Linked DNA regions of Callithrix jacchus. The main gene of each other region encodes a partner of the protein of the gene in region 2 in a complex. Links are inferred from orthologs where the notes say so. Each region holds a gene or a part of one and is shown on either strand. Other genes may lie near its edges. The genes, in order: SHANK1 and ARHGEF7.

What was found.
Region 1: the proteins of ARHGEF7 (region 2) and SHANK1 are in contact, whole or in part, in a crystal structure (PDB 3L4F), measured with the Rattus norvegicus proteins. The link is inferred for Callithrix jacchus from reciprocal best matches to the Homo sapiens genes ARHGEF7 and SHANK1. Residues at the interface, in XP_063131056.1 of Rattus norvegicus: Asp735, Ala737, Trp738, Asp739, Glu740, Thr741, Asn742, Leu743; in NP_113939.2 of Rattus norvegicus: Gly673, Phe674, Gly675, Phe676, Val677, Leu678, Arg679, Gly680, Ala681, Lys682, Phe696, Glu703, His735, Arg736, Val739, Ile742.

Annotation. Positions count from the first base shown.
Region 1 is NC_133523.1:44,306,078-44,309,878, forward strand, and holds part of SHANK1 (SH3 and multiple ankyrin repeat domains protein 1), read right to left. Parts: coding exon 2,502-3,801; intron 2,411-2,501; coding exon of another isoform or gene 2,266-2,410; exon of another isoform or gene 2,005-2,265; intron 1-2,004. UniProt on the Homo sapiens protein: Seems to be an adapter protein in the postsynaptic density (PSD) of excitatory synapses that interconnects receptors of the postsynaptic membrane including NMDA-type and metabotropic glutamate receptors via complexes with GKAP/PSD-95 and Homer, respectively, and the actin-based cytoskeleton.
Region 2 is NC_133502.1:26,672,724-26,677,029, reverse strand, and holds the start of ARHGEF7 (rho guanine nucleotide exchange factor 7), read right to left. Parts: upstream 2,856-4,306; 5' UTR 2,490-2,855; coding exon 2,325-2,489; intron 1-2,324. UniProt on the Homo sapiens protein: Acts as a RAC1 guanine nucleotide exchange factor (GEF) and can induce membrane ruffling. Functions in cell migration, attachment and cell spreading. Promotes targeting of RAC1 to focal adhesions. May function as a positive regulator of apoptosis.

The DNA.
Region 1 (3,801 bases), on a different chromosome or scaffold from region 2:
ATATTTTTTATTTTTTGAGACGGAGTTTCGCTCTTGTTACCCAGACTGGAGTGCAATGGCATGATCTCGGCTCACCGCAACCTCCGCCTCCTGGGTTCAGACAATTCTCCTGCCTCAGCCTCTCGAGTAGCTGGGACTACAGGCGCACACCACCATGCCCAGCTAATTTTTATATTTTTAGTAGAGACGGGGTTTCACCTTGTTGACCAGATGGTCTCGATCTCTTGACCTCATGATCCACCCGCCTCGGCCTCCCAAAGTGCTGGGATTATAGGCATGAGCCACCACACCCGGCCACATTTGTTTATTTTTATACAACCTAGGAGCATTGATTCAAGTTGCTCTGATAATAGACACTCACTTTTTCTTTTCTTTCTTTCTTTGATTTTCTTTATGACAGGGTCTCACTTTGTTGCCCAGGCTGGAGTGCCTTGGTGTGATATCAGCTCATTGCAGCCTCAACCTCCCAGACTCAAGTGATCTGCTCACCTCAGCCTCCTGAGTAGCTGGGACTACAGATGCATGCCAGCGTGCCCAGTCTCCTTTTTCTTTTATTTTTTTACAGCCTGGGAGCATAGATTGAAGTTGCCCCAAATATACACTCCCTGAACCCATATTTGAATGTCACACACATTAGGATAACAGATCTTCAAACAGAATACGAGTGAACTCTGCAGATGGACAAGGAGATTTAAGAACTGCTCCCAACCCTCTGTGTATCTGAATCAGAAATGTAACTCTACTTTCTCTAGGACTAGAAGGTCTTGAATCGGCTGGAATTCTGTGGCGAGGTAGCTAACTGGCTGCTCCGGGAACCTTCGGCCTCATCCCGTATTTCCCCATGTAGTAGTTGCTGGGCTCTGGTTAGAGGCCCCATCTCATGTTACAACAATGGCCCACATTAAATCCTCTCAGAAACTCTTTGAGGCTGGCACTAGGCCATCCGCCTTCTACAGAGAGGTAGAATTTGCCTTAGCATTCATTTGCCTAAGATCACTCAGGTAGAAAGTGGGAGGCTGGGACTGGAAGCCGAGAAGGTGGGCTCTAGAGCCACACCTGCAACTGCATCGTGTCTTGGACCACACAGGCTTCAGGAGACTCACAGATTTCAGGGACTGGCAGAAAGAAGTGACGGCTCACCAAGGAAACAAACATAAGCAGGTCTCGCTCCAGTATCCTTTGTTAATGACTTTTTGTTCATTATGGGATATAGGTTGTGATGGTGATGGGAAGACACAGCGGAAGCTACTGAGATAAACGGAAATGTAAAGGCTGGACTCAGTCGCTTACATCCGTAATTGCAACAGTTTGGGAGGTCAAAAAAGGAGGATTGCTTTCAAACTCCTTTGAAACTAGCCTGGGCAACATAGCTGGTCTCTACAAAAAATTTAAGAAAAATTGGCCATGGCCAGGTGCAGTGGCTCATGCCTCTAATCCCAGCACTTTGGGAGATCAAGGTGGGGTAAATTCCTTGAGGTCAGGAGTTCAAGACCAGCCTGGCCAACATGACAAAACCCTGCCTCTACTAAAATACGAAAATTTGCTGGGTATGGTGGTGGGCACCTGTAATCCCAGCTACTCAGGAGGCTGGGGCTTTAGAATCATTTGCACCTGGGAGGTGGAGGTTGCAGTGAGAGGAGATTGCACCACTGCACTCCAGCCTGGGCAACAGAGCAAGACTCTGTCTCCCCCCCCAAAAAAAAGAAAAGTTGACGGGGCATGGTGGCATGCACCTGTAGTCCTAGAGGCCTGCTCGAGCCCAGGAGTTTGAGGGTGCAAGTGAGCTATGATTACATCACTGCACTCCAGCCAGGTGACAGAGTGAGACCCTGCCTCTAAAAAAATTAAAAAGAGCCAGGCGTGGTGGCTCATGCCTGTAGTCCCAGCACTTTGGGAGGCTGAAGCGGGTGGGTCACCTGAGCTTGGGAGTTCGAGACCAGCCTGACCAACATGGAGAAACCCCGTCTCTACTAAAATTACAAAAATTAGCTGGGCATGGTGGCTCATGCCTGTAATCCCAGCTACTTGGGGGGCTGAGGCAAGAGAATCTCTTGAACCCAGGAGGTGGAGGTTGTAGTGAGCAGAGATTGTGCCATTGCACTCCAGCCTGGGAAACAAGAGTGAAACTTTGGGAAAGAAGAAAGAGAAAGAGAGAGAGAGAGAGAGAGAGAGAGAGAGAGAAAATTGGCCAGGCATGGTGGCATGCACCTGCAGTCCCAGAGGATTGCTTGAGCCCAGGAGTTTAAGGGTGCAAGTGAGCTATGATTATACCACTGCACTCCAGCCAGGTGACAGAGTGAGACCCTGTCTCAAAAAAATAAAAAAAGGAAAGAGAAAAAAAGTATCTGAAGGTGCGCTTCTGTGACAGCAACCAGCCTGGCTTCTGTTTCCTTTCTGCCACCCTGAGACCCTAAAGGGACACAGCCATGGGGTAAGCGGACTCTGGTACCCATGAAATCAAGCCCTCTGGCCTCCCTTCTTGGCCACCATCCCCCGCTTACCTCTGCCGCTGCAGGGAGGAAGTCCTCTCAGGGACGTAGCTGGCTCCCCCGTGGTGACTGTCTGTGCTTCCCCCGCTGCCTCCTCGGGCCCAGGGCAGAGCGCCTCCGGCTGCCGAGGAGCCCCCAAACTGCTGAAGCTTGGAGCTGAGTTCACTGATGATGCTGGCTTTAACTGTGGCCAAAGCTGAGGCCTGAGGCTGGGCCAGGGGCCCGGGCAGAGGTGGTGGCGGTGGGCCCGGGCCCTCCTCCCAGGGCAGCAGCTTCCGAGGCAGAGAGGAGGCCGTGGGCAAGGGCACCGGTGGGACTTCTGGCTCTACAGCCACCGGACCCCCCGCCACGCCGGCCGCGGAGGGTCCTGAACAAGCGCGCAGGGCCAGGAGCCCATCGGTTCCAGCTCCTGTCACCGAGACGGTGGGGCTAGTGGGAGTGACAGGGTCTCGGAGTCCCCCACTGGGGCCAGGCCGCAGGCCTCCAGCAGCTCCTAGCGCCCGGCCGCGGAGCTTAGAGGGAGTCATGAGCTGAGGAGGGTATGGCGGGCCGGGAGGACCGCTGCCCCCGAAGGCCTGGCCATCCAGGTAGGCCACATAGGTGTCCAAAAGCTCTGGCCCACTGGCCACACCGGCCCCACCCCCGCCCCCACCCCCTGCGCTGCCACCACCTTCGGCAGACAGGCTGCTCAGCGTGGAGGCACTGCTGATGGTCTCCAGCGGATGGTCACTGCTGCTCCGACTGTCCACTTCCTCGATGCCAGAATCCGTGCCAGGCGGAGGATCTGGGCCGGGCTGTGGGGCAGCGGGAGCCGGTGCTGCTGGGGCAGGTGGGCCTGGTGGAGGGGGGTCCCCAGGAGCGGCGGGGGCCCCCTGGGTCAGGGTGGCCACCTCGCTGTCATAGGATGTCAGGCTGGATGCGGTGGAGTCCAGGGTGGGAGGGGCTGCGGCGACAGCCGGGGGCGGCACGGGAGGTAACGGGGTGGCCGGAGCAGGTGGGTCGGGTAGCGGGTGCGGAGGCCCAGGCGTGAGGGGCGACTCCGGCTTTTCGAAGCTGTTGGAGAATTCCAGGGGCGGAGGCAGCGGTTCCACGAAGAGGAATTCGCCGTCTTCCACATCCACCGAGGGGGCGGGAGGCGGCAGGACCAGCAGGGGCAGCCCGTTCTCTTCACTGGCCCTCGGGGAGGTCGGGGAGGGGGGCACGGACCGGCGTGGGCTGGGTGGCTGGACCCCTGGCCCGTCCTCCGAGGGGGGCCCCCTTCCGCTCGCCACGGGGGCCCGGGGCTGGCAGTTTTCAAGGAACCGCACGTGCA
Region 2 (4,306 bases):
GCCGAGGCGCCCAGCTCCGTTTCTTAGTCCGGCACTCATCCCCAGCCTCGTGGCTCAGGCCAGCTTATGAGCTTGCAGAGGCGAAGGCTGCAGGCCACTTGCCTTCTGCTCACTGGCTGTCCGTGCACCCCTGCCGCAGAGGTCAAGTGAAGCCCTGCACATCCACATGAATATTTGGTTAAGTATCCAAATGCTTCTTTTTAAGGAAAAACATCCTCAGATTCACACTCCCACATTTAAGTAAAAATTATTCAGCATGTATGCTTTGTGGCATAGATTATCTGGTAAGCATGCAAACATCAAAAACCCAGATAACTGGCTGGGCATGACTGCTCATGGCTATAATCCCAGCATTTTGGGAGGCCAAAATGGGACACAATTGCTTGAGGCCAGGAGTTCAAGACCAGCCTGACCAACATAGCAAGACCCCATCTCTATTTAAAAAAGAAAGAAAGAAAGGAAAGAAAGAAAAAACCCAGATAACTCTCCTGGGAAATGGAAAAAGCTCACAAAACTTCTGAAACGCAGGGATCTTAGAGACAGAAATGGCTATTTTGCTCCAAAAACCTACCTTTGAATTCCAGAGAACCAGCAACTGTGTCTACAATATGCTGCTTTACATTAAACTTTCACTGTGACAGAGTCAGTTTAAAACAAACCAACTGGAGCTTGGGGGGGAATGAAAAACATATTTGACCTAAGACATTTCCAAATGACTGCAGTTTTAGAATATGTTGAGTTGTTTTAAGTTGGCTTCTGCAAGCTCAACATTTTATTCATTCCTCTCTCCGTTGTTTTAGAGTTGAAATGAATGCTACAGTTTTCTAGGAAAATCTTTCTAGAATTCAGAAGAAAATGATTATTGAAGCCTGTCAATCACTATTAATGCAGTTAATATGCCAAACACCACATTCTTTGATGGCGACACGTTTTTATCAACACGGCATATGAAGTTTCTCAAAGCTTTGCTTTCAGAGATGATACAGGATTTTATTCAAGCCTATTTTGGCGAACTTAGCATGTATTTCAACACTTTTCGACATCTGTCTTGTATTACCAGAGGTACCAGTCTCCAAACAACAAAGTATTTTGAATGCCTTGAAAGTCAGATCCTGCTCCTTAGTCCTCCTGTCTTAAATCATCATGTCACTGTGACATCAGGTTCATTTTAAAGGAACGTTTTTATTTCATGGACACTCTAATATGCAGATTCCGTCTTCATAAAAATGTGCCAAGTAAGAAAAATACCTAAAACTGGAATGTAAGCCAAATTCACATTTAATGTTTTCTGACCTCATTTAAAATGTAGCAGCAGAACATGCGCACGTGTATAAGATTAAACATTTTACTTTTCAAGTCACTTAGGTGGCATTTTATTTACAAGTTGTCATGCTGTATGGGGGCCAATACACCCCACTTAGAAACTTAAGTCGTTCTTCCTAGTTGTGGTACTCTTCAGTTTCTGTATTTAACACATTTTAAATAATTGTTGATCTGAACGCTGTGTATTGGCCACCCACCACCCTCCCCTCCTCCAAAAAAAAAAAAAAAAAAAAAACCCTGGGAATAAGATTGGTATTTTGAGCTACAGGGAGACCTCGTTTTTAGAAGCTCTCCTGTCTCCTGGGCCCTGCTGGCCGGTTTGTGGGCGATGAAAACAAACTTTAATCACTTCCAGAAATTCGGGTCAGGGTTCACACGCTCCAGTCTGGGAACTACCAGAGGGGAGGGAGAGGCAGTGCCTGCAGGACTCTGGGTTCTATTCAGAACCAGGGAGGGACCTGAGAACGAAATCTGAAATTTTAAACAAGCCTTGCAGAGTGCCGGGGCTTAAACCCTGTGTCTGCCGTCCTCTCGGATGGGGGTAATTTTCTCCAGGGGAAAGTAAGTACATCATTTCCCAGCGCAGCCCTCAGCCGCAGATGCGAGCATCTTTAAAAATGCAGAGCAACCGGTCCATTCACCGGGAGGCGAAACACGCAACGCCACCGGCAAGAACTGTCCACACAAAGCCAGCGGACAGAGCCGCACGGCGTCGGAACGCGGTTCCGACCGGGCCGCGGCGAGGCAGCGGAGCCCACCTCCAGCGCGGAGGGGCCACTCGGCGTTCGGACCCCCACCGCCCGCGCCCCTCCTCCCGCCCCCTACCCAGCCCCGCTCACAATGGCGCCCCCGGAGCTCCCGCCACGGTCCTGGCGCCGGCCGCGCCGCCGCTCCGCGCACAAAGGAGGGCGCGCGGTCCCCCGAGCGCGGCCGGCCCCAGGTGCTCCGCGCGCATCCCGGGCCGCAGCGGGCCGGGCCGGGGGGCGCGGGCGAGGACTTACTTTCTCGATGGTCCCGGGCAGCAGGCGCTCCAGCAGCCTGCAGAGGACCACCCCATCCTTCAGCGACGCCTGCAGAAAGCCCTCCGGGTCCGCGATGGTTTTTTTGGGCGACTCCAGCACCCCCAGGGTGATGAGCCACGTAACGGTCTGCTCCGCGGAATTCATCGCGGCGGCCCGGGAGGCGGGCGGGCGGGGAGGGGCGCGCGCCTGCTTCACCTCGGAGCGGCTGCCCGGCCCGCGGCCCCCACCGCCCCCGCCGCCGCCGCCGCCTCCTCGCCCATGGAGCGGCCGGCGCCGGCGATCGGCTCGGCGCGGCCCAGCAGCTCCGGCCCGGCCCGGCCCGCTCCTCCGTGCGCCCCGGCCCACGGTCAGGCGCCTTCTCAGGAGCGGCTCAGGAACCTGCGGGCGCCCGCCGCCGCCCCCCGGCCTCGGCCGCCGTCGCCCAATGACATCACCGCCAGGAGAAGAAAGACGCGGCCGTCCGCCCGGCCCGCGCCCGGCCCGCGCCGCCCCGCGCCCTGCGCAGCCTCCGCTCCAGGCCGTGCGCGGGGCGGCGGCGGCGGCGGCAGCGGGGAGCGGGCGGGGAAGGGGGAGCGGAGCGTGGGGCGCAGGGCGCGGGGAGAAGGAGCCGGGGGCCCCGGGCGGGGGCGGGCGCGCACCTGCGCTCACCTGCCCCGGGCCCGCCGCGCGCCCCGCGCCCCGCGCCCCCGGCCGGGGCCCCGGGAGCCCTTTGTTTATGTTTTGAATTCGTGAGCGTTGAAATGATGAAGTGCTTCCCAGAATGCTCTTTTTATTTTTGCCGGTTTTGTGTCACGGTGGCGGGGAGAGGCTGAAAACGAGACGTTGGTTTGTTTCCCTTCGCTCCCTCCGGTCACTGCGGAGCACGGATGAGGATGACATCTGCGGCCGGCGGGGTTTGGAGCGGGGGTTGAGCGGGGACTGACGCTCAGCGCGCGGCGCTGACCTTCCAGGCCGGGAAGGGGCCTGCGTGACCCCGCTCGAAACGGGCGGCGACGCCTCAGACCCTGCTGGGGGAAGGTCAAGGAGAATGGGCGGCCTGAAGCAGGGCTGTGCGAAGGGCCGGGTCGGTCAGGGCTGCGAGTCGGGGGGCGCAGCGTCACGGAAGAGCAGGGCTGGAGACCGCGCTGTGAACGCGCCAGGCCGAACCTGGAGATCCCAGACGGCAGCTGTCGGGTCATGCGCGAGCTTCCTCGAGCACCTGATGACACGCACACATTTCCACGCGAGGAACAAATGGAGCCTTTTCTTAAAAGGACGCGCGTCTCCACTCACTCCACCCACTGCCCCTGAGCGCTCTCCCCAGTTTGCTCGCTGCGACCCGCGGGCAGTTGAACAAGCAAAGCGCTTACTCTATGCCAGGCACATCCATTAATCCATTCAGTGGCAGAGGCCAGAAAGCACATAAAGCTTCCAAAAATAATCAGAGGCTTAGGTCGTCTCCCTCTGCCTCTGCCGGTGGTTTTCTCTTGCAATAACTAACTGCATTTATTTCTAGCCTTGAGTTAAGTGTTTAAAATTTTCTTTGCAAATACACAAACTATTCAAGTGGCAGTATGAATTCTGGATTACGAGGACAATGTGCTCTCCGTGATAACAGCAACCAGCAGGAACCTCACGAAGAGCTGTCTACTGCCTCACCTCCCATCATGGTCCCCGTTTTACCGATCAGATGCCGAACACATGGCAGAGATGGCACCCGAAGCTCAGCTCTACCAGTAAAGACATAGCTAACCCGTTTCTTCCTGCTGCCCTGTAAGCTTTCTAGGAAACAGGAGAGCAATCCACAGCTACATCAAGCCTTGTCCCTAGAGTCCCCATGGAAAGAAGGACGTCAACCCCGGAGTGGTTGCCCACCGAGACTCCTGTCCACTCTCCTTACTGCTGAATTAGAGAAGTCATTTCACATGCAGTCCTTACCATTCCGAATCCTGCTAAATTCGGTCTGGTACTTATAAGCTGCT